Linked DNA regions of Tamandua tetradactyla. The main gene of each other region encodes a partner of the protein of the gene in region 2 in a complex. Links are inferred from orthologs where the notes say so. Each region holds a gene or a part of one and is shown on either strand. Other genes may lie near its edges. The genes, in order: SAP25, SIN3A and SUDS3.

Region 1 (5,713 bases), on a different chromosome or scaffold from region 2:
CCCATGCTCCCAGGGGTCCCCTCACCCCATACTTGTAGGGCTTTCTTTGTCTCCTCTGAGCCAAAGAGCTTGGCTCACCGAGCCCACCCACACCCAGTATAAAAGGGGTGGCAGCACCAAGTGTCTTACCACTGTGCCTGCCCCCGAATGCTATGCCACCCCCTTACTTCCTGGTTTGCCTCTCCCAGGGCTGGTCACACGGTCATACAATCCTCCCTTGTCCCTGGCCTGGCAGAGGCAATGAAGTCCTGACTCCCAGACTCTTTGCCTGGGAGATCCACCATGATTAAACGTGCCCTGCTTGGTTGGCCTGGGAGGGACCTAAGTTCACGGATTCACTGCCTCACTGCAGAATTTGAGGGGTGGATGGAGAGACACACTCTACACACACCTCCGTGCCTCTGGCCACCAGCCACAGGGAGTCTTTTGCAAATCAACGCTGCTTTATTGTCAACAGAGTTTGCCTGGGGTGGTGGGTAGTGGGTGTGGGGGCCCACTCAGCCCCTGGGGGCCTAGGGAGAATGGGTCTCCGTGGTCAGAGGGAGGGATGGGTCAGGACAGTGAGAACTGCTCCGACCACCACTGGGACCTGTGTGGCAAGAGACAGGGCCTGAGGAGCCAGCAAGGTGCGTGGGGGCCAGCGGGGAGCTGGCTCTCGGCTTCCCCTGGCTCATCTCCAGAAGGCCAGTGAGGGCAATCAGCTCAGGCCCACTGAGCCACGTGGTGGAGCAACTTGGGGATGGGGTGGGGAGGACCCAGGGGGACATGACAGGGCGTGGGGGCAGCAGCTGCAGGGAGCCCATCACCTGAGGAAAGAGAAGGAGTCAGTGTCTCCTCCCAGGCTCTGTCTGAAAACTGGGGTAAGGCCAGGGCAGGAAGAGCTCTCACCTGCTGGGGGGCCTCGGTCAGGTACAAGGGGATACGGTGCCCACGGGGTAGCAGAGGGTCTGAGAAAAAAACGTCTTCACAGCCCATCACCAGGAACCCTGGGGAGCAGACACTAGCTAGGGCAGCACTGGAGTCCACACTGGGGGGCCCACCCAGTGAGTTCTGCCCTCTGGAGAGCCAGAGTAAGCATGTTCATCCGCTGGGGCAACCAGGGACCTACCTGTGTCCCTGGGCACGTGCTCTCCCTTCTGATGCCCAGTGGGGGCCAGGGGCCTGAGGCCCCTGCCGGAGGCTGCCTCGAACAGCGGCCAGAAGGATGGATGACACAAGGTCCGGCTGGAGAAGGAGGCACCTGACCCACAGCTGGCCCCCTGCAGAGTGCGGAGGGAGCAGGAAAGACCCCTGGAATCTGGCGCCTTCCCAAGGCATGGCTACCTCTCCCTCCACCCATAAGACCAGGCCACAGGTGTCCCCAACTCACCCACACCGGCTGAGGTCCTACTTCAGCCTTGTAGTTGGGGTCCCACGGTGCTAGCAGGGTCATCCTTGAGGGGGCCACCTGGGGAGAAAGGGGAACTGTGGGGGGGAGGAGAGGGACTTTAAGAGATTAATAGGCTCAGGAGTCAGTGAAGGTCTTGAAGGATATTAAAGGTACCAGGGCCTTGTACCTACCGGGGCTTCCTGGGGACCCCTCAGCAGCCGGGCCTGGGGAGCTGCCAGGCTTCACCTGCTCCCTCAAGCTCCAAGAGGGACTTAGGGACTGGGAAGGTCCAGTTACACGATCCCGCATCGGCCTTCCCGCCTCCAGGTGTGGATATTTCCGTGAGCTCAGAAGCAGGACCAAGGGGTGCCTGGTGCAGGGAGACCCATCAGACCGCCGGCAACCCCACCCCCCACCAACCCTTTCCTTGGTATGGACGATTGAAGCTTTGTTAACCTAATGCAAAGCGCGGGGCTAAGACATCGAGAGCCCCCCAGTCGGATGGGCCCCCAATTGGATGTCCACCCGCATGCTCCCCTGCTGAGACCCTCACCTGTCCTGTGGGGGTGAGCCTGTCTCTCCCGGATCTTCCTCCCCATAGTTCCAGGCATCACCCTGGTCACTGCCCGTTGAGGGGTCTCGTCCCTCCGGTGTCGCCTCCTCTCTTGAGCCCCAGCGCGGAAGGGCCCAGGGCAACATGCCGCGCCTGGGGGAGGGCAGGGCAGCACTTCCGTGCCCCCGCTGGCCTTGTCCCTCCCTAGCCCCCAGGTCTCCTCTGCGCCCCGGTTGGTCGCTGTCCAGCCCTCCCTGCAAGCCCGCGGGGGCCGCCACCTCCGGAGAGCCTCGCACCACGCCGGCGCACGGTGCATTTCCGGGCCACGTGGCCTGCACTCCCGCTGGGACTCAGGCGGCCGCGGGCGCCCCCTAGCGACGGGGGTGCGCGGGGTCCCAGCCGCCCGGCTCCGCCCTGTAGGAGACTCGTGACCGCCAAGGGCAGGAAAATGGCGGCGCGAGGAGAAAGCAACGGCAGAAGCTCGTCGTGAAGGCAACAGCGGCTCTGACACGCACACATCCAAGGGCCAACAAGGCCTTCTGGCTTCTTTATTGCGCTGGACACAACAACGGGCGCCCTGCCTTTCGTCCCAGACCCTCAGCCCCTCCCGACGGGGCCAAGCCACCTTCCTCCACGCAGGCAGGCTGTGAGGGGCAGGAGCTGCCTCCGACCCTTAGGGGTTAAGGAGGGGTGCCCGGGGAACAGGGCCGGCCCGAGGCTGCCCTCACCAGCGTCCATGTTAGCAGGAACAGGGCCCGGGCGGTCGTCCATCTCTTCTTGTTCCTGGGGTCCGGGCGGGCCACCTCAGAGCCCTGCACCCCTACCTCAACCCCTAAGGCCGTTCGAGCAGCGCATGGACGACAGCAGCGATGTAGGGGAGGCCCCTTCCGGGGGCCCCCTCCTCTTCCAGGATGTGATGTGGCTGGCACAGGGCCTCCTGGGGGGAGGGGCCCAGGTAAGTTACTCCTTGTCACTTTCCCAACTCAGCTTCCCTGCCCTTGGCAGAGGAAGGGCATCCAAGAACAAAGTCCCTAAAGAAGCCTGGGCAGAGGGGCAGAGAGGCTGGCCCTCCAAGGGGTAGGGGGGCAAAGGCTAGAGGCATCCTGGACACACACTGTGGGCCCACAGCTCGTGGACAAATGAGATACAAGGAAGCTGCCGGCAGCTAAGAGAGGAGTGATGACACAGGGGCCACTGCTCAGGGGAGAGGCCTGTCATTTCCAGAGGGAAATGCTGGGGCAGGGCAGCACCTGAGGGCACACCAGGAGTGGCCTGGCCACAGCAGGAGCAGACACATACACACACACACACACATACACAGAGGCAGCCACAGTCTGTACAGTTTATACACAGAGGCAGGGGCCCAAGCTGGGCCCTGCATCTCCTACAAATATAGAGTTCTCTCTACAAAATATAGATAATTTAGCCCCCCAGTAGCCAGGAGGGGTTGGGAGGGAGGGAGGGAACAACATGGAAAGGGAAGATTCAAGCTCCTGCCCAATCTGGGGGAACAGAGGAGGGCAGGGGCAGAAGGCTCCAAGGCACCGTCAGCAGTGATGGGGGGGGGGGGCACAGTGAGGGGCTACAGGAGGGTGGCCAGAGGCTGGGGACCCAGGGTCTGGGGGCACCAGAGTGGGGCCTCTGAGGTCACTATCTGGAGGAAGGGGTAAGCTAGTGTCTTTGGTAGGGGCCGAAGGCACCACTGGTGAGGTGAGGGGCAACTGAGTGGGACTTTTATAAATAGAACCAGGGCCAGGGCCAGAGGAGGAGTGACTTGGGGCCCTAGAGACCTAAGAGCCGAGTGTAGACGACACAGAGCAGCAGCATGAGGGCCACGTAGAAGAGGACGAAGCCGCCCAGACCAGAGGGGGGCCAGAGGGGTGGGGGGGCACTGCCCTCTACCCACTGCACAGCCTCCAGTGTGGTTCGCAGCCCTTGGGCAGTGCCCTGGAGGAGATCCGAGGGCGAGCACAGGTCAGCCTGGGAAGGGAGAGTAGGACAAATGGACAAGGACAGATGACAAGACATCAGCAGCAGCAACAAGGCAACCCCCACCCCTCCCCTCACATGCCTGGACCAGAACCTCCAGCATGCGAACGTGCAGGGAAGGGAGCATGCAGGGTGGGCGGGAGGGTGTGCTTCCTGCGGGGGAGGAGACACCCCTGCGAGCAGAACCCCACCACCCACACCGACTGCTCAGCTGAGCCCTGGTCTAGCCACTGTTTACAACAGAGACCAGCTCCTGGCTCCTGAACCACATCCCTCACCCCAACTTCCATACCTCAGGTACCCCCATTTTTCGACAGGCTTCTAAGAAGCTCTCCACATTCTTCCGAGACTTGAGGACACTGAGTTTTGGCTGGAGGGGAAGGAGATAAGAGGATCAGGGAGATGCCACAAAAGTCTCCTGCCCCATGCCCTATTTCCTCCCTTAGCCCAACTGACCACAGCAGGTGAGGGCACATGGATGAAGGGCACAGACCGGGGCCGGAGCTGGTTGACCAGCTGGCACAGAATGACCCCACTTGCCAGAGCTTCTGCCAGGTCCTCAGGCAGGGGCCGCTGCAGCCGGGACTCAAGGACCTGGGGGTAAGGGGAACTTGGGGTTAGCTCAGAGGTCTGCCCTACCTTGCCAGCCTCAGGGGAAGTACTGGGATGGGGGAGGGCAAGCGGGTATCAAGGGAGGCCTGAGTTCCAAGGACAGGGAACTCAAGGAGGAGCCATGCAGATCCTTCTTCTTACCTGGCGCAGTTGGGCCATTAATTCCTTCTCATCCAGAACCTGGGGGGACTGCCGAGGTCTCGGGACAGAGTCTGGTGAGGAAGGGCCTAGGCAAAGAAAGAGGGCATGTGGGCTGTCTCCATACTCCAGTGTCAACTTTGTAGTTGGGTCCTGCTGGTCTGGCACCTATCTCTACGTCTCTGCTCGTGGGGTTTTCAACACAAAAGGACAATAAACCCAGAGACCTCTGAGGCCAGAAGCAGTGACAAAAGCCTGGTGAGCCTCTGTTGACCCACCTGAGCTGGTCTGAGAGGAAGAACGGAAGAGGAAGCTGTTTGGTCGCTGAATGGAGCCAAGTGGCCGGGGTACAGGTGGTGTTGCTAGAGCCAGGTAACAGGGAAAGTGAGAGAGACATCCCTCAGTGTCCCACTTTCCCTCAAGCCACCAGGTCCCAACCAATCCCTCAACTACACGGGGCCCCACCTCTTTCCAAAGTCTCTGTCCCACCTGGTCCTGCTAGAGGAAGGGGCTCCTGGGTGGTGGGGGCAGAGACAGGGGCTCCCTGCCCCCCTGCAGGTCCAGGTTGGGTGGCACTAGACTTAAGTGCACCACTGAGGAGAGAGACAGAAAGGGAATTATGTGGGATGGTCAAGAGGAGGGTGAGCAGGGAACAGACTGGGAGGAGACATACTTCTTTGTGGCCTGAGTAGACAGGGCAGGAGCACCTCCCCCAGGGGTCCTGATCCCCAGCTTCAGAAAACTAGAAAGAGAAGAAGGGATGTGGAATTATCAGGACCAGGGGAACATCAACCCTGAGGGGCAGAGCAGGCAGGAGCCACCCAGAGTGGCTCTAAGAGGGGGTGTGCCCAGCTCCAGAAGCATTCACTTCCAGGGCAACAGTCCCAGCCCTGACCCTGTGCCCATACCTATCCTTGTGCCCATAGCTGTCCTTCCTGAGGACCCCCCACACTCCACTCTGCTGCTGCTGCTGCTGCTGCCGCCGCTCCCGTTCCTGCCACAACTGCAGGGTATCTGGACGACGACGCTCCTCTCCTGCTGGCTCCTCCCGC
Region 2 (7,666 bases):
ACTGGCGGAGAGGAAAGGAGCAAAACAGACCATGGCAAAAATGAGTTTTGAGTATATGTATACTCTTAAGAGAGAGGATAAATATCCTAGAGTTGCGGGTAATAAAAACTATGGTTCTCTTCTTTGGGTAAAGAGTATTAACTGCAGTGTCCTAGGTCCTTTCTGTGCCCCGAACACACAGGGAGACAAAGTGCTTGCAATACCTTGGTTGCTTTTATTTAATCACCAAACAGGGCCGAGAACTGACGCTGACCGTGGTTTGGGGGGCGCTCTCGCAGCGCCGGGAGAGGGGGCGGGATTAGAGTTCCCGCTCACTCCAGTAAAAAATGTTACTTCCCATAGGCAGCCGGGTAAACCCGCTCCTAAGTCCTCTCTGCAATATAGTGGAGACGGCCAGGAACTTGCGCTGCCAATTAGTGGGCCTGACTCCAAGGATGGCTTGGAGCCGCGAGGCCATGGCAACGAACTTCGAACTCCATGAGTAGCCGACAGGTGGGAGCGTCCTTGCTGGAAGCCAAGACCTGCCCGGGACGGAGCTCTAAAAATAAGTCAAACAGACGAAAGCGAACCCGGGCAAAACCTCTCGGACCGAATACTGCCTATAACTCTGGGGCCGATTCCCGACCCCCCGAACCCCCTCCCCGGAATGGGTGCCCCGCTGTGCTCCCAGTTGCATCGACAACCACTACAAAGGTGAACCAGCCTTGGGCCTCCCTCGGCTTCCCCTGCCCACATAGGGCGTGCTGCCTGGATCATACCTAAGGCTCCCAGCCAACCCTGCGTTGCCTTGGTAAGCAAAGACACTGCCAGTGTCCCAGCGTTCTCAAGCTTAAAATCAGGGGACTCTCTGGAAAGTCAAGTGGCCGCTAGTGCACAGAAGTAGCCAGGCTGTAAGGTCAGAACTTTAAAACTAGCCCCCGGCCAACAAGAGCAGATTTCACCCCCTCCTCTCAACCCCTGCAGAACTTCCGGAGCTAAATCCTTCAAATCCTTTACCCCGAAGGCTATCCGATCGCGAGTCTTGGAGGAATCTTTGTGCGCCTTCTCCGCTCCCTGCCCTCCCTCGCCAAGGGCGCCGAGGGACTTCCGGGCGGGAGGGCAATTCGAAGGAGCAAGGCGGGCCTCACACATGTGCTGAGCGCGCACACCAGCGAAGGGAGGGGGCGGGGAACAGGGGTTGACTTCCCCCTTCGATCCCGCTCCGCCGGAGGAGGTGGGGCTATTTGCTCCACCAATCAGAAATGGGGGCGGGACCTTACGCATTACGCCAGCCGCCCAAATCCTCCCTCCGCTCTTTACGGAAAAAAATCCTAGCAACTTAAACTCCAGCCCGGCCTCCCGATAGGCGGAGCTCGGAGAATGTCATCCAATCGAAAACCGAAAAGGAGAAAAGGGATTCTCGCCCCAACCAGTGGAAGACAAGAGGAGGCGGAGCCTCTGGAGGAGCCGGAGGTGGGTGGAAGCTGGGGGACCGCCCCACCTCTCAGCTCCCCTCTATGCGGGTTGCACAACCCACCACCAGAGTAGAGAGTAAATAGGATGGGCCAAAGAGTGGAGGCACTGGCAGCCCCGACATTCCGCGGGTCCGGCCCTCCACGCCTCTAGCCTCCACGCTCCGTTGGAACCCCGCGGTTCATGCCGGCGCCCCGCCTCCCCGACAGCGGCCTCCATTCCAGCTGACAGGCGCGCCCCCCGCGCCCCTCCCCGCCCTCTGATGCATTTCCTTTTCCCGATTCCTAGCGTGGAGACTGTTTTCACTGTTTCCGACCTTCACTGCCCCTTTCAGGCCACCCCCTCGTGGGCGCGCGCACACGTCCGCGCCCCCGCCCCATCTGAGTCCAAGCGGCCAGCAGAGGCACCTCGCGGAAAGGGGGATCCTGGCAGCGGCACTGCCGTGGAAGAGGAAGGGAGCTGCTGCCGCTGCCGCCGCCGCCACCGCGGGGTGGGCGGGGAAGGAGGCAGCTCCATGTTTGCAAAGGGATCAGCTGGGGCCGCGGGTTGAAGCCGCCGAGTTCCTGCAGGTTTCCACACCCCCAGGCCGAGGTCCATGGGGCTTCGATCTTGGCGAGTTACAGCGACGAACGGTGGCTCTACTGCCGCGGCACAGGAGTTCGAGACGCTCCGAAGCGCGCGCGGAGCCAGTGCCGAGACGCAGGAAGCTTTCCGGGGCCTCTTCCGCCTCCAGCCGCCCCTCCCGCAAATCCGGCATTACCCCCGCCCCCAGAGTCCCTAACAACCGTGGGCCCACTGCGCCCGCGCCTCTCGGGACCGCGCTCACCGCCCCCTCGGAGAAGTTCGCAGGCAGAAACAAAACCCTTGGGGAGGCTGCCGCGCTCGCCCAGCGTGGTCAGCGGGAAGAGCCGCCAGCCCCTGCTCGCTCGCTAACTCCAGCCCTCGGCCAACTCCGGGCGCTGCGGGTTGGGTGGGCCTGACCGGCGGGTCTCCGGCCGCCGCCCCCTGCAATCCCGCACGCCGCAACCCGGGCCGGGTTCCAGTTGGTGTATTGAATCGTCTCCTTTTCTCTTCTTTACAATAATTTTGTTCTTAAAAACGAATTTCAGTAGCGGGAGATCTCTCCCTGCCCTCCCCTACCCAGTCCGCCGCCAAAACCTACCCAAACCGGCTGCTCGATGAAATAAACTAGGCAGCGCGGCTGGCGCCCGGGCGAGCCCGGGCCCGGCCGACCCCCTCCCCACGGCTCCGGCCCGGCTTGGAAACACACACACTGGCTAGCAGGCGGCGCCAAGAGCTCTCCTTCCTGGCCTGCCGCTTGTCTCCCTCGGCCGCCGGACTCCGAGCCTTCCCCTTCAGTTCGGACCCCTGCCCGCGGCGCCCGCACTGAGGCGGCCCAGCCAAAGCAAAAGACCGGCGAACCAGCCCCCCAAACACCAGAAATTGGGGGGACCAAATTAAAAGCAGCTGTTAAACATACCTTCCGAACCAGGCGAGGAGTCCTGAATGGGGGAACGCCCCCCACGGGCCATTGGCTCCCCGGGCCTCACGTCAGTCATCCTGGTCCCTCCTCCTCATCTCGCCCCGCCTTTCCCCCCTCATTGCACGCCTCCTCCCTCCAAAAAAATAAAATAAATAAAGTAGCTGCGAGTGGGAGGCGTATCCGTTGCAGAGGCCCCTATCTCTTCAGTACTGCCGTCTCGAGCTACTGGAGGCCCTCGGACCAAAGGGAGGCCTCCTAAGACTCGGGGATCTGCGCAGGGTGTACTCGGAGGAAGTAACTGGCTACCCTACTGCCACTATCTTCACAAAACACACCCCGTTCGGAGCAGGCAGAGAGGCTGGTAAGGTCGCCCTAGCACCTCGCTGGAACTAGCCGCCGCTACTCCGCTCTCTTAGGTGCCTGAAGATTAGTGATACAGGTAGGAAGCCCTGCGTCCAGGACGACAGGCACTTGTCTGAGCGAGCAACTACGTAGATGAAGCAGGCACAGTCATACCGCACCCGTTGCTGAGTGCGCTTTGAGAGACTGGATGAGATGATCCTTGCCCTCTGAGGGCTCCCGATCCAGCCGAAGAGATGATACAGAAAGAGGTAGGCAAGGCAAGAATATATACAAAGAAATATATAGGACCTAAGAGAAGGGAGATTTGTTCTAGCTGAAGGAAAATTGGGAAAGGCCTCATGAAGGAGGCGGCATTCAAATTAGATCTTGAAAATTTATCAGACAGAAATGGAGGGCAGAGAGCGTGTGTCATTTTCAGCAAAGGGTACAAAGGGTCTGAGAGTGAAGCTTGATTTCCATAATATTGCCAGGTCCTAGGCTTTGCACTGAACACCCAATCTTCATATCTTGGCTTTTCCCCTTCTCCATCCCCTCAATTATCCCATTGATTCAGCTCCAACCCACATTCCAGTCTCCAGATTCTACCTGGGGTGACCCACCTCCCTTCCCAAATGAGCACTTCTTTCTACCTGCCCTGTGTCTTTAGTGGCAAACTTCCCATACACACACCTGAGGCTCTGAGTGAGGAAAGGGCTCTTAGAGGTTGTTTTTGTAGTCTCATTTCCACCCCCACCCCCCATACATGAAGTGTATGGGTGGCGTAGTGATGTAAAGTAGGATTGGAAAGAGGAGACTAAACAGAAAAAGGCTTTTAATACATGGTTAACATTCTTGGACTTGCATAGCTGAATGTTTCTGAGCAGGATCAGAGGACCACAGGCCCAAAACTCTGGTCTAAGATGTTCAACATCCTGGCAGCTGCATGGGTTCTGAGGTTAGGCTGAGTGACGTGTGCCTAAAGCCAGCAAGTCCAGGCACCAGGCTACTGTAAAACTGGGCTTCCAGAATACAGAGGTGCATCTTGTGGTGGGAAGGGTAGAGTAGGGGACCAAGAGAAGGCTTCTCTCCCCCACTCTACCCTTTCTCTCCCCCATCCACCCAATGCAGGAAGCCTCCCCTATCTTCAGCAGCCGTCAAGTAAAAACCCTGACTCACAGTCTTCCCTGCATCATTTGCTATTTGTCGTAACTCCCAACCAAAAAGTGTTCCTGGGACTCAGGGGCCAACCCACACATCTGTACCTGACAAAATTGAGCCAGGGACTGGGACACACAATAAATGAGCAAGAAAGACTTGTTGATTGAGGCAGCCCTAACCACCTATAGACAGAGGGGAAAAGAAATTCGTGTAGATGAAGTGGGCTTGGAGGCCTGTAGGCAAAATGCAAGCCTACCACCTGTTAAGCTGTCCCCATAGTAATGGTGAGATGCAAGAACATGAGCTAAGGGCAAGGAGAGTAGGAAGAGAGAAGAATAAAAATGAGAGAGAGAGAGAGATGTGTTTGGAAAAGATTAAAGGGATGTCTTCAGTGACTTGATTCAGTGTAGGTAGTGGAGGGAAGTGACCTGCTGTGTGAAGTTGTAGAAAAGCTTGAGGCTGGCATTTGGGTAATCTGAGTTCCAGATTACTATAGAACTAGCATGGTCAGTAATTTGTGGCATATCCTTGGGCAAGTCCCCTCTTCCCTTGGGTCTCAATTTCTTCCTTGTATAATGGGGGGGGATGGTAGTCCTCTATATCAGAACTGAGATCCCCAGAAGTCAGGAACCCCCTTCTCAGATTCCTACTGTTTCTTGAGGGGCTCTGCCCTCCCTGAAGGCATAACAGATACCTGTATCAATGTGAGTAGGCAGAGTGATAGAGCAGAAAGAACACTAGCCTAGACGTCTAGTCCCCTGGTCTCCACCTAGTCCCTTTGAAACCATGGTCAGGCCAAAACTGGGCATGGCAGTGAGCCCTTGCTTGCAAACACCTTATTCTCTATGAATCCCCTTCTTTTCCTGTGCAAGATAAAATAACAATCGTTACCCAGCTGTTCTCAGGACTGATATAAGGATCAAAAACGATGATCAAATGCACTTTAATGCAACAAGTGAATTTCTGAGCTCCTGTAGAGGCCAGTGGCCCAAGAATTTTACTGTGAACTTGGGCAGCAAGTGGTCTGTTGTGGATGAAGTTACAAAGGAAGCATTTGTAACTAGAAGTTAACCTCACTCAAGTGACTCAGGCTTCCCTGACACTCCTCGCCCTCGTAAGTACACCACCACCCCTGAACATTGCCCCCAGAATGAGCTCCTCAGTGACAATCTCTCCGCCTCACTCACCTCGGCCCTTTAGTGCCCACTGCAGTCAGGCACAGAAGGTCCCTTGGAACAGATCCTGCGATCTATTCAATACATTGAAGCCTGCACAGCACAGCCAGTTCCAGCCTGTTTGGGAATGTGAATATTTTATATGGCGACACTGTCCCTCCAGCAGCACTTGAGGGTTACAGCTACCTTTCCCTACCAGTGAGGACAAAACAGTGAATGGGTCTGTGTGACAGTCCTCCTTGGAGAAGTCACATTGGGAGGCCAGGTTATGATTCCCAGGCCTCTTCTGTGTGAAACATTCCACAGGTGTTTGTGAGTTAAGGTTTCTCATACTTACTTTACAGATAAGCGAGCTGAGGCTCAGTACAATAGACTGACTTGCCCAGGTAGCCATATAGCCAAGGAAAGTCTGTCCGGACCCAAAGCTTAAGCTTTTTCTATTGCCCCATATGCTGTCTCTGTGCATGCTGGGGCCCATGATGATCCAGGTTGGGACGTCTGGAGCAAAACTCTCCTCTCATGCCCCCACCTTCCTCATCTCCCTAACTCTTAATACAGCTTGTCCCTAGATAAATGATTTCTGGTTCTTTCCAAAAGTTCATTATCATCAAGAAAGCACATACAACACATATACCCAAAACTATCACACCTTCTGACAATCTCGATTTCACATGCACATACAAAGACCGTTAATGGGAGGTGGTGATTGACATATAGGGCCTGCACTTCAGTGACTCTACCATGCTCCTTAGACTACAGTCAAAACGATGTCAGTATCCTTCTGACAGAATTTCTGACAGCTCTAGAAAGCTACTACCACCTACTAGAATGAGATATTCAAGGGGCACCTGAGGCCCCTAGTTTCCTACCCCCAACCCAAAGCATATTATAGGTGCAAAGGAAAAGCATACTTGGTCTGAACTTGGTCAGAATCCCAGTTCAGCCACTTCCTAGCTGGAAGATTTAATAAATCTTTTATCTTTTCCATTTCTTATCTGTAAACTAAGAACATTTACAGATACTGAACGTTAGATTCCGATTATTTTTTTTGGTATGGTGTATGGTGGAGACACATTTTATTCTTTTTCCATGTGAACATCCCAGCACCATTTTGTTGAAGTTTTGCTTGTTTTGGGAAGGGCATGGACTAGGACTCGAACCCGGGTCTCCCACAAGGTAGGCAAGAATTCTAACACTGAACTCTCTTTTCCATTTTCTTATCTGTAAACTAAGAATTAGAATTTACCTACTTCAGTGGGGTGTTGTGAAATTCAATGCCTAACATTCAGTCAAGAGTTTTCAAATCTTGTCCTGTTTTATCCCATCCCCACCCCCACTTCTCTTGGCCATTCAAATGCAAAAATCCCTGGAGTTGTAGTCTGAGTGGTGAGCCTAGCCATAGACCTAAAGGACCAACAGCCCTGTAATATGAAGAAACTCCATTTCTCAGGCAACCAGCTGGCTTAGGTTGTACATATCTGTATTTCTGACTCCTGGGTAGACTTGGAGGCATGTATTTTTTCGTGGGTTTCAAGGCCGCCACTCACTGCCTTCAAGTGTCTTCCTCTTAATGAAGTGTTGGTTTACCCTTCTGAGATCCATCCAGTTCTAATCTGATGTAGATACCATAACTATATGCTCCCCCAGTTTACCTAGCATTTTGTTTTCAATGCGCTTCCTTTTGCATATCATTGTTTGGTGATTTTTTTTTTTTAAGCAGTTTTCTTTCTTTAAATGAAATCTTATTTAGAGGATTAAGAGGTGGGTCTTGTGTTGGTGGAAGTGGGGACAGCCTGAGAACTTCAGTCTCTACTTCTTTACCTCCCATTCATGTCTCCTCCCTCTGACAGTTCTGCCTCAAGAAGACCACTTATGAGCCTATCTTCCCAAATGTTGTTTGGGAAGATGCCACCCCCCCTCTCTCAGCAGCCTGTGACAATCCAACCTGGCCAGTACCCTAAATGTTGGTGTTCCTCAAGGGTCTGTCTTCTTGCCCTCCACATACTTCCTCGATCTCATCCATTTACAAGGCTCATGGCTTCTGTCCAGACTATGG
Region 3 (7,815 bases), on a different chromosome or scaffold from region 2:
CTCTTTAAAAAATTTAGTTCGATCTTTCAACTATCTTCCACACATCAAAGTTAAGCAATCAAAATTCCCTATTTATAGTTTACTGTTTCTTTAAACTTGCATCTTAAACATTGATACTGAGGTGCTGCCAAATCAGAACAAATTTCTTAGCTTCTTATTCAGCTAAAATGAAAAAAAAAAAAAAAAAAAACAGGTCAGGAAAATATCTGCCTCTCTCAAAAGAAATATTAGAATTAATCCAAAACATGGGTTTCCAAAAGGATCCCTTTCCCCTTCAACTTTTTGTGGTAGGTTACAGAAGCTCCCTCCAACTTTTCACATTCAGATTAAGCTATCAAGGTCAGGTAGCCCCTCACTTTCCAGGCATCCATCCACACCAAGGGAGATTAGTGAGAAAAGGTCAGGGGTGCCTCTGTCTTGACCTTTGCAAGATGTTGGTGTTTCTACCAGACCCTCCGGCCGGTGCGTTCTACTTAGGAGATGTTTCATTACATAATCCCTATTCCAGAGTCACCCCGACTCAAGCTATCCCAGTCGCGCACACGACGCTCAGAAAGGTCCCGTCCCGTGGATTTCAGACCCTGGGAGCATCACCGTCTCCACGACTCTGCCCCAGCTGTCGGCCCCAACTCGCAGTCACAGCGACCCGGACCCAGGACCCCAACCGCAGCGGTGGGCTTGGGGGTGGTTTGAACAACTCCGTGGGCGCGATCCTTCTCAGGCTCCCTCGCGACTCAGACGCAAGGCTGGCAGAGCGCGGGATCCCGCCGACCTGGAACCAGCGTCCCTCTCAGGGTTCCTTGCCTCAACTCGCACTCGCGAGGTCCCCTCCCCTCGGACACTCTCGGGATCCCTTCTCTTTAGACCCTCTGTCTCCCTTTTTCGGGGTCCCCTCCCCGCAGACCCTCCGTCCTGGCCCCACTCGGGGTCTTCTCCCCGCGGACCCTCTGTCCTGGCCCCTCTCGGGGTCCCCTTCCCGCAACCCTCTGACCTGGCGCCACTCGGGCTCCCCTCTTTTCAGTTCCTCTGTCCCGGCCCCTCTCGGGGTCTCCTCTCTTCAGTCCGAACTGTCAAATCCGCTCCCGAACCTCCCCTCGCCCGGTCGTCGCCGACCTCACTCCGCGCAGGGTCCCCTCGCCTCGGCTCACGCTGTCACCGCCCCGCGCCCGGTGCTCTCACCTCAGACCTGCTGTCACCGCCCCCGGGCCCGGCGTCGCCGCCGCCGCTTCCTCTCTCACACTTGTTCCCGAGTCGCTCTTCTACGGGTTGTCCCCTGGAAGACTCCCGAGTCCGCTGCTGAGTGCCGAGTCCAGCCGCCCAGAACCTCCGCCCGCGGTCCCTGCGTTGCGTCCCACTCTCGAACGCGGGACCCCGCCGCCTCCGGGCACCCCACGGACCCTCCCGCGACCGCCGCTGCTGCTGTCCGAGGTGCGGCTCCTGCCAGGGGTGGCCAATCGCACCCGACTGCGCCGAGCGCGCTCCGCCCCACCCTCACCGACCGACCGCCCCCACCCCTAGACCACGCCCCCACCCGGCTCCGATAGGCTCTCTACTGACCTTCCCTGATCGAGGGGCACAGGGCTGAGGCCGTTTATAGGTACTTGATTGGAGATGCCTAGGAAACCGAGCGGTCGATGGCGCCTTAGGATTGGCGGAATTCACTATGCGGGTGGGGCTGGGCGAGGTTTCCTCAGACGCGGAAGACCTTGCAACTTCAGTTATCCACGGGCCCTCCAGGGGTGCGGTCATCCCTGTTTGCGCCAACCCGTGGGTCAAAGTTCATGGCACTTCTCCCTGCGCCTTAACCTTTTCTGGGAAACGCCTAGAGGCCAAGGCACTCTGGGACCCTGGAAGGATATAAGAGCCTTTGGGGAGGTCCCCATTCTCCAAGACCTTGCACAGGACTTGTAAATTTCCTGGATTTAAATTCTCCCAGGACTTGTCCATTTCCTGAATTTAAGTCCTTTGTACATCTCTAACAATGCTCTTCTTGGCATTGTGTTCAGCTAACATCAATTTAATATTGCTGGGGAAAATCCCTATATTTATACTAGATACATGCTTTGCAAAACAGCATTCAACCCTGGCGGGGCTCATTTTGATAGGTATAAGAACAAAACTTTATAGAGATACTCAGTTGCTGGATTTTGAACTTCTGGTATCATCATTATGACTGAAAAAACAGGAACTCCTGGGGAAACCGTTAGCTTCAAGCAAGCCTATTCAACATTCACAGAGCCATTCCGTTTTGTTCCGTGTAAACTAATCACCAAATTTTAACAAGCTTTGACCCCAAGTGCAATCTGGGATAAGCAAAGACCTATCTTGATTGAAGCTGAAAGGTAATGTCTTCCAGGGGTGAAAGTACATGTTACTCAGAGTTACTCCTTGTATTTTTGTGAAACTGGGTATGCTGAGGAAATCAATACTAGAAAACTGTTATGTTTATTCCTAACCCCCAAAATAAACTTAAGGACTTTGGCAGTTTGGCATTTTATGAAGAAATTATTTCATTTCAGAAACACATTTTAATCATAAGTGTTGTCAAATGTATACAGGCCTTAGCCCTCAGAACTCTAAGTTTTTTTTAAACTCCTGCTATACAATTTAAGTAGGTGTTCTAAACCGTATACATACTTTTTCCTTACTGTTTTAAAATCATACCCCACTCCAATTACAGTGCTCCTCTTTAAAGTTTAAGTTTGGGAGTTAGAGTATGCAGAGGTTTGAAGGCACAAACATTCTGGAATTGGGGTTTGCAGGACTACATTTAAGTTGGAAGTAATAGGAGCAGAGTGGCTGAGCACTATTTTGGGAAGAGATTTCAAGGTGGTAGAACTTAGTTTTGAGGGAAATTGCTTTTTACACACCTAGAGAAATTGTCCATAACCTTTGTATTAAGTAACTATAAAGAGTGAGTAAGATCAAAGCCACAAGTGAATTTTTTTGTTGTTCTCTAGGTCCCCTTTCAATAAAAGGCATCTTTTACTTAAAAGCTTATTCTAACAATTCTGCATTAGGAAATATGGACAGAAGACAAGAGGATAAGTTTTCACCACTCAAGTGTTCAGTTGTATCTATTCATTAAATGAAAGAAATGCATGACATCAGCGGATGTTATCTGCAATCAGTTAGATGGAAATAGAAATAAAATATAAGCAAGACAAAAACTCAAGTGTCTAGAAAGGAGAACAATTAGTGATAAAATCAGTTTTTTTTTAATGCATTATATCAATGGACTCTAATTTCTAAAATGTTGTTGGTGCTTTTTTTGGTTTATAATTATTGGTACTAATAGGGACTCAAGTTCAATAGATAACTACAAATAATTTGGATGTAATCTAACAAAGCAAAGAAAATAGCTTCAGCCTTTGTACAACAGACAGGAATCTGAAATCCTAGTTTAAATATAGATGGTAGACCTACAGTGCATTCTGAGAATAACTCTTATTTAAAAAGAACTTCAGAAGATCCCTGAGACCAAAAAACCTCTTGGAAAGACATCACAGCATTCCATTCTGTAAATACATGAGTTTCGTTGGGAGGAAAAAATCCCTTAAAAATAGAGCCAAGATTTCAAAACAAGGTAGGAAATAAAGATTTTTTTTCTTTATGAGAATAAAGTTTTGTAATTTTAAGAGACTTTGAGTCCATTCAGAGATAAATCTGATTACAAGGGATCTAAGAATCAGAATCGTAGATTCCACTCTGGCTCGTACATCTGTGTTCAACTTTACTATTTTTTAATTACTTTTTCTATGAAGACACGGATGCAAAATAGAGTGGGAATATTTATATTACTTTGGACAAACCATTGAACATTTCTGGCCCTTTTCCTTATCGTGCTGCCACAATTAAACCGCACTGCTCTTGACAACATGTATACCCAAAACTTGTACCTTAACCAAAACTTAAAACACTGTGCCCCCTTTTACTGAGTAGAAATCACAAATTAATTTATCTAGGTATTTGGGTCTGTATGCAAGGAACTCCACTTGCTCAGATGAGAGTTGGTTACCAAATTACTGAACTGGGAAAAATAATCTTTTAAAAATTAATACTCGAGGAATTATGAGACAGATTTACTGTTGAAGGAAGGCTTGGATCTGGAAGTAGCTGGATGCTACTACTTTTTTTTTAGGCAAGTGACATCTCTTTTCTCATCTGTAAAATCGGGATAACATTTTATTCAGCAAACTTATACCAACAGACTCGGACGGACTGAGAAAAATACCGTTTTGCTGATCCCAGGACCGAGCAACAGAAAATTTATCTTTTAGTTTTTAATAAACTCCAATTAGGGGAGGAGTCAGGGCTCTTTTTCTTTTCTGGATGTTCACTCAAACTCTGGATAGCTACATTTTCTCAACTTATAAAGGGGACGGTTCATATCGTTCATACGGTTCACCTGCTTAAATTAAAGAAAAGACCACCTCACCTGCCTCAAACCCCTCATACCCGCCGCTCTCAGGTCGCTAACTTCTCGCTCTACTTTTGGCTCCAGGCGCCGCCTGGCGGCTGTTTCCGGTGTCGCCCCTAAGCTTCGGGGTCCTGGCCTCAGCTAGACCTGCCCGTAGATTTGCCTAACGCTAGAGCTCATGTCTCCGCCCCTTTCCACCATTCCGTCGACTATTTTTAGACGGCAATGAAGGGACTGAGGTTTAGGCGAACGGAACGTCGCGGAACCTGGCGGCCTTTCCTCTCCCTCAAGGATGGAGGAATCAGGCGGTCCTCGGGCAGCTCGCGACCCGGAAGTCGCCGCCGGCGCGAGGACCCCGTTGCCCAGTGCGGGCGCGTGGGGCGGAGCTCGGCGGAAACAAGGAAGGGGTCGCCGGGGCTCCCGCTCTTCGGGGTGGCGGCTCCGTCGGGCTCTGCCAGGAGGAAGTCAAGTCCCCAGCGTGGGTGGCCTCGATCTCCCGGTGGCACGCTCTGCTGCGGTCGGAGGTGATATGAGTGCCGCGGGGCTGTTGGTTCCGGCCCCGGCCCCGGCTGGAGCGCCGCCGGCGCCTGAGTACTGTCCAGAGGAGGATGAAGAGCTGGAGAGTGCGGAGGACGACGAACGCAGTTTCCGGGGTCGTGACTCGGATGAAGGTGCGTCTTTTTGACCGCTGGCAGCCCTGGGCCGGGGTGGAGCTGCTGGGGAAGGGGTTGGACTGGCTGGGAGTGGGACGGGGCGGGGCGACTTCTAGAGCGTGGGGCCCGTTGGAGGGGCATCTGGGAGAAGCGGGGTCCTGGGAAGTTATCACTAGTCCCTCTGGGGAAGGAGGGAAGCCCTGGCTGTGTACGTTGTACCCTACTGTTATGGGGAGAAGGGACTTAAGGAGATATTCATAGAGCTGGAGGTCCCTTTAAGATTCTGCTCCCTCCCCCACAACCCAACCGTCCGGATTGAGCCTCTGGTCTTCGTTGGATGGAATAGGAAAACCATCCTTTGAGTGCTGTGAATCCCTGTCCTTTTAGTTCTGGAGAAAGTCAGAGCAAAGCTCTGTTTGCCCTCACCCCCGACCCCACCAGAATATGATTAAGTCAGTCCCACTTTGGACAGCACAGTACAAGATTTGGAATGCAGAGTGGTTTAAAGAAGGCTTAGTGGAATCAGCCAGATCTAGGTTTAAATTTGTGTCTGTAACTTAACCCAACTTTGTCATCTTAGAAAACTTCCTTAAGCTTCTGAGCCTCATTTCCCCAACTTTATGGGGTGGAAAGGTAGTACCTTTTTCTTAGGGTAGTTGAGAGAATTAAATGAAAAAATGTGTATGAAGTACTTGGCCCAATTTCCGGTATTCAGTAAGTGTCTTTTTCACCACTGAAGAAACAGGCACAGGAAGAGGTAGAGATTTGCTTAATGGTGCCCAGGTGTGTTTTCATTTCCATTCCCTTTATATTATGTCTTACTGCTTCTCAGAGCATTGCGTTTCAGGCTGGGCTTTACATTTTGGTAAGTGTGAGGAGTACTGTTTTAGAGGAATTGAGGAAGGAGCTGGCTAGAGGGAGAGAAAGGTTAAGAAGCATAGGACACGGGAGAAGAAAGAGGAGATAGAGAGGAACCAATATATGAGTGGAGTATTCCAGTTCATTTTATTGGCTGTCTGGAATAAGGAGCCTGTCTTATTCATTTCAGTCCTCGAAATAATGAGCACTTGATTGGCTGGCACATACAGGAACTCAGTGAAGCTCTGTTAGCTGAAGGAGGGGAGAAGGGTTTGTGGAAAATTGGGTCTGCAACAGCATTTCTCAGAAGGCAACTATATATGCAGACAAAGTTGAGCCAACTAATTGCATTGATAACTTTGAATCTTTGGAGATGATCTACTTTAAAATTCTCGCAAGAAATGCTACTTTGAGGACATGCCACACTGGATTTAATTGGGGCCTGCTGGGTTAAAACTCATCTTTCAACCCTTTGAATATGAATCACTTACATTGTTTTTAATGCCCACGAGGGGGTGCTGTGAAGCCAAAATAGATTTACTTCCTGCAGTAGGGTTCTTGAAATTGTGTAGACACTCCAGCGCTTTGCTTATTTAAGGATAGTGTATAAAGTGTTTTGAAACAGTTTCTGTTTGATCATCTTGCCTCCCTCCTCTTCTCCATTAGTTGTAACTTTGAAAATATTTGTTATTAGAGTTGTATTTCTTGTTTCTTTTTCTCCTGTTTCATCTCCTATCTGATATGAAATTTGCTAAGGGTTCAATTTAGAGTAGTGAGCAGGGCTTGACTACCTGTACTTTCCAGACTTCCACCCATGTCTCCTTTTCCTGAACTGCCAGCTTTTTTGTTTCTGCAGAAGTCACAGCCTTGACCATGAGTGCCTAGTCTGATACCCCTGTTTTCTGGTTGCACTTGAAATAAGGGCAAGCTCTTTGCATTAATCTGGCTGTGTATAATTTGGCAATGCCATTTTCTTTTCTGAAATAACTGTACTTAATGTTTTCCACTGATGGTGTCACACTGGCCAGTTTTGAGAAGAAATTCATTTTACAGAAGTTTATTGCATGCGTTTGCTGTGACGCGATGCCGAGTATATGAATATGATTTTAACTGACTTTTCCTCCCTAATTTTACTCAGACACAGAGGATGCTAGTGAGACTGACCTCGCAAAGCATGATGAAGATGACTATGTAGAAATGAAGGAACAGTGAGTAACACAAGCTCTTTCATGATTGTTTTTATATTATTTTTCTGGAATACAGAATTAGCAGGAAAAATATAGTGGCCTTGTATGTGTGGTTTTGACTATAATGCTTCCAAAGACTGTGTGTATGTGTGCATTTTCTTCTTTTAAATTGGTTGTATTTAATCAGTCTGTATTTAGATGAAACTTGTTCTTTTTTTCTTCCTATATCAAAAATCCATGATGGGTAGACTAGAAAGAACCTAGAGGCAAATGATCACAGGGAAGTAATCCCATAATACAGGAGAGTACCTTTTACTACTTCCTCTTTTATTTAAGATGTGAAAACCAGTGTTTGGAAACTCGCGTCATCCAGCAGCCAGGTTCTAAGATGGTCATGAACTCACTGAGCACTGACTACCTGTTAGGCAAGGTTCTGGATGCTTTGAGAGCTCAGGTAACTGGGACTGGAAACTAGGGACTCCTGACTCCTCCGATGCTCTTTCCACTTGAACACACGTCCACCCAAACCTTTTCATCACCTTCAGACAGAGCCCCAACTGAACGTGCCCAGATAGACTAAAATTCTATTATGTTTTAAAGAACTTGAAAAAAAATAGCTTCCTTATGCTTAAAATTTACTGACTTTTTATTAAAAACGCAGATGGATAACAGAATGAAATATATTCAATAAGTATTG

The links.
Region 1: the proteins of SIN3A (region 2) and SAP25 are in contact, whole or in part, in an NMR structure (PDB 2RMS), measured with the Mus musculus proteins. The link is inferred for Tamandua tetradactyla from reciprocal best matches to the Homo sapiens genes SIN3A and SAP25. Residues at the interface, in NP_001103821.1 of Mus musculus: Leu121, Lys122, Val123, Ala126, Leu127, Leu130, Tyr144, Phe147, Leu148, Met151, Lys152, Phe154, Lys155, Thr161, Val164, Phe182, Phe185, Leu186, Pro187; in NP_001075431.2 of Mus musculus: Ala208, Glu209, Ile211, Ala212, Leu213, Ala214, Gly215, Leu216, Leu217, Gln218, Met219, Ser220, Glu223.
Region 3: the proteins of SIN3A (region 2) and SUDS3 are in contact, whole or in part, in an NMR structure (PDB 2N2H), measured with the Mus musculus proteins. The link is inferred for Tamandua tetradactyla from reciprocal best matches to the Homo sapiens genes SIN3A and SUDS3. Residues at the interface, in NP_001103821.1 of Mus musculus: Glu616, Glu619, Leu620, Val623, Arg672, Ile673, Tyr674, Ala675, Lys677, Asp680, Ile681, Ile691, Ala692, Ile695, Val696, Arg699, Met702, Lys703, Glu706, Trp707, Glu709, Ala710, Phe714; in NP_848737.3 of Mus musculus: Ala205, Leu207, Asn208, Tyr209, Leu210, Leu211, Gln215, Ile216, Glu218, Asp219, Leu220, Thr222, Leu223, Leu226.

What each region holds. Positions count from the first base shown.
Region 1 is NC_135349.1:8,677,850-8,683,562, forward strand, and holds SAP25 (histone deacetylase complex subunit SAP25), read right to left. Parts: upstream 1,433-5,713; coding exon 1,370-1,432; intron 1,260-1,369; coding exon 1,109-1,259; intron 987-1,108; coding exon 889-986; intron 807-888; coding exon 513-806; downstream 1-512. Other genes in the region: LRCH4 (leucine-rich repeat and calponin homology domain-containing protein 4), read right to left, coding at 1,581-1,739, 2,651-2,859, 3,713-3,902, 4,204-4,281, 4,368-4,505, 4,665-4,750, 4,940-5,023, 5,127-5,254 and 2 more. UniProt on the Homo sapiens protein: Involved in the transcriptional repression mediated by the mSIN3A but not the N-CoR corepressor complex.
Region 2 is NC_135338.1:66,487,818-66,495,483, reverse strand, and holds the start of SIN3A (paired amphipathic helix protein Sin3a), read right to left. Parts: upstream 3,004-7,666; 5' UTR 2,933-3,003; intron 1,868-2,932; exon of another isoform or gene 1,264-1,867; coding exon of another isoform or gene 997-1,263; intron 539-996; coding exon of another isoform or gene 299-538; exon of another isoform or gene 195-298; intron 1-194. Other genes in the region: uncharacterized protein LOC143652277, read right to left, coding at 299-538, 997-1,263. UniProt on the Homo sapiens protein: Acts as a transcriptional repressor. Corepressor for REST. Interacts with MXI1 to repress MYC responsive genes and antagonize MYC oncogenic activities. Also interacts with MXD1-MAX heterodimers to repress transcription by tethering SIN3A to DNA.
Region 3 is NC_135331.1:18,679,584-18,687,398, forward strand, and holds the start of SUDS3 (sin3 histone deacetylase corepressor complex component SDS3), read left to right. Parts: upstream 1-4,762; 5' UTR 4,763-4,949; coding exon 4,950-5,091; intron 5,092-7,069; coding exon 7,070-7,139; intron 7,140-7,815.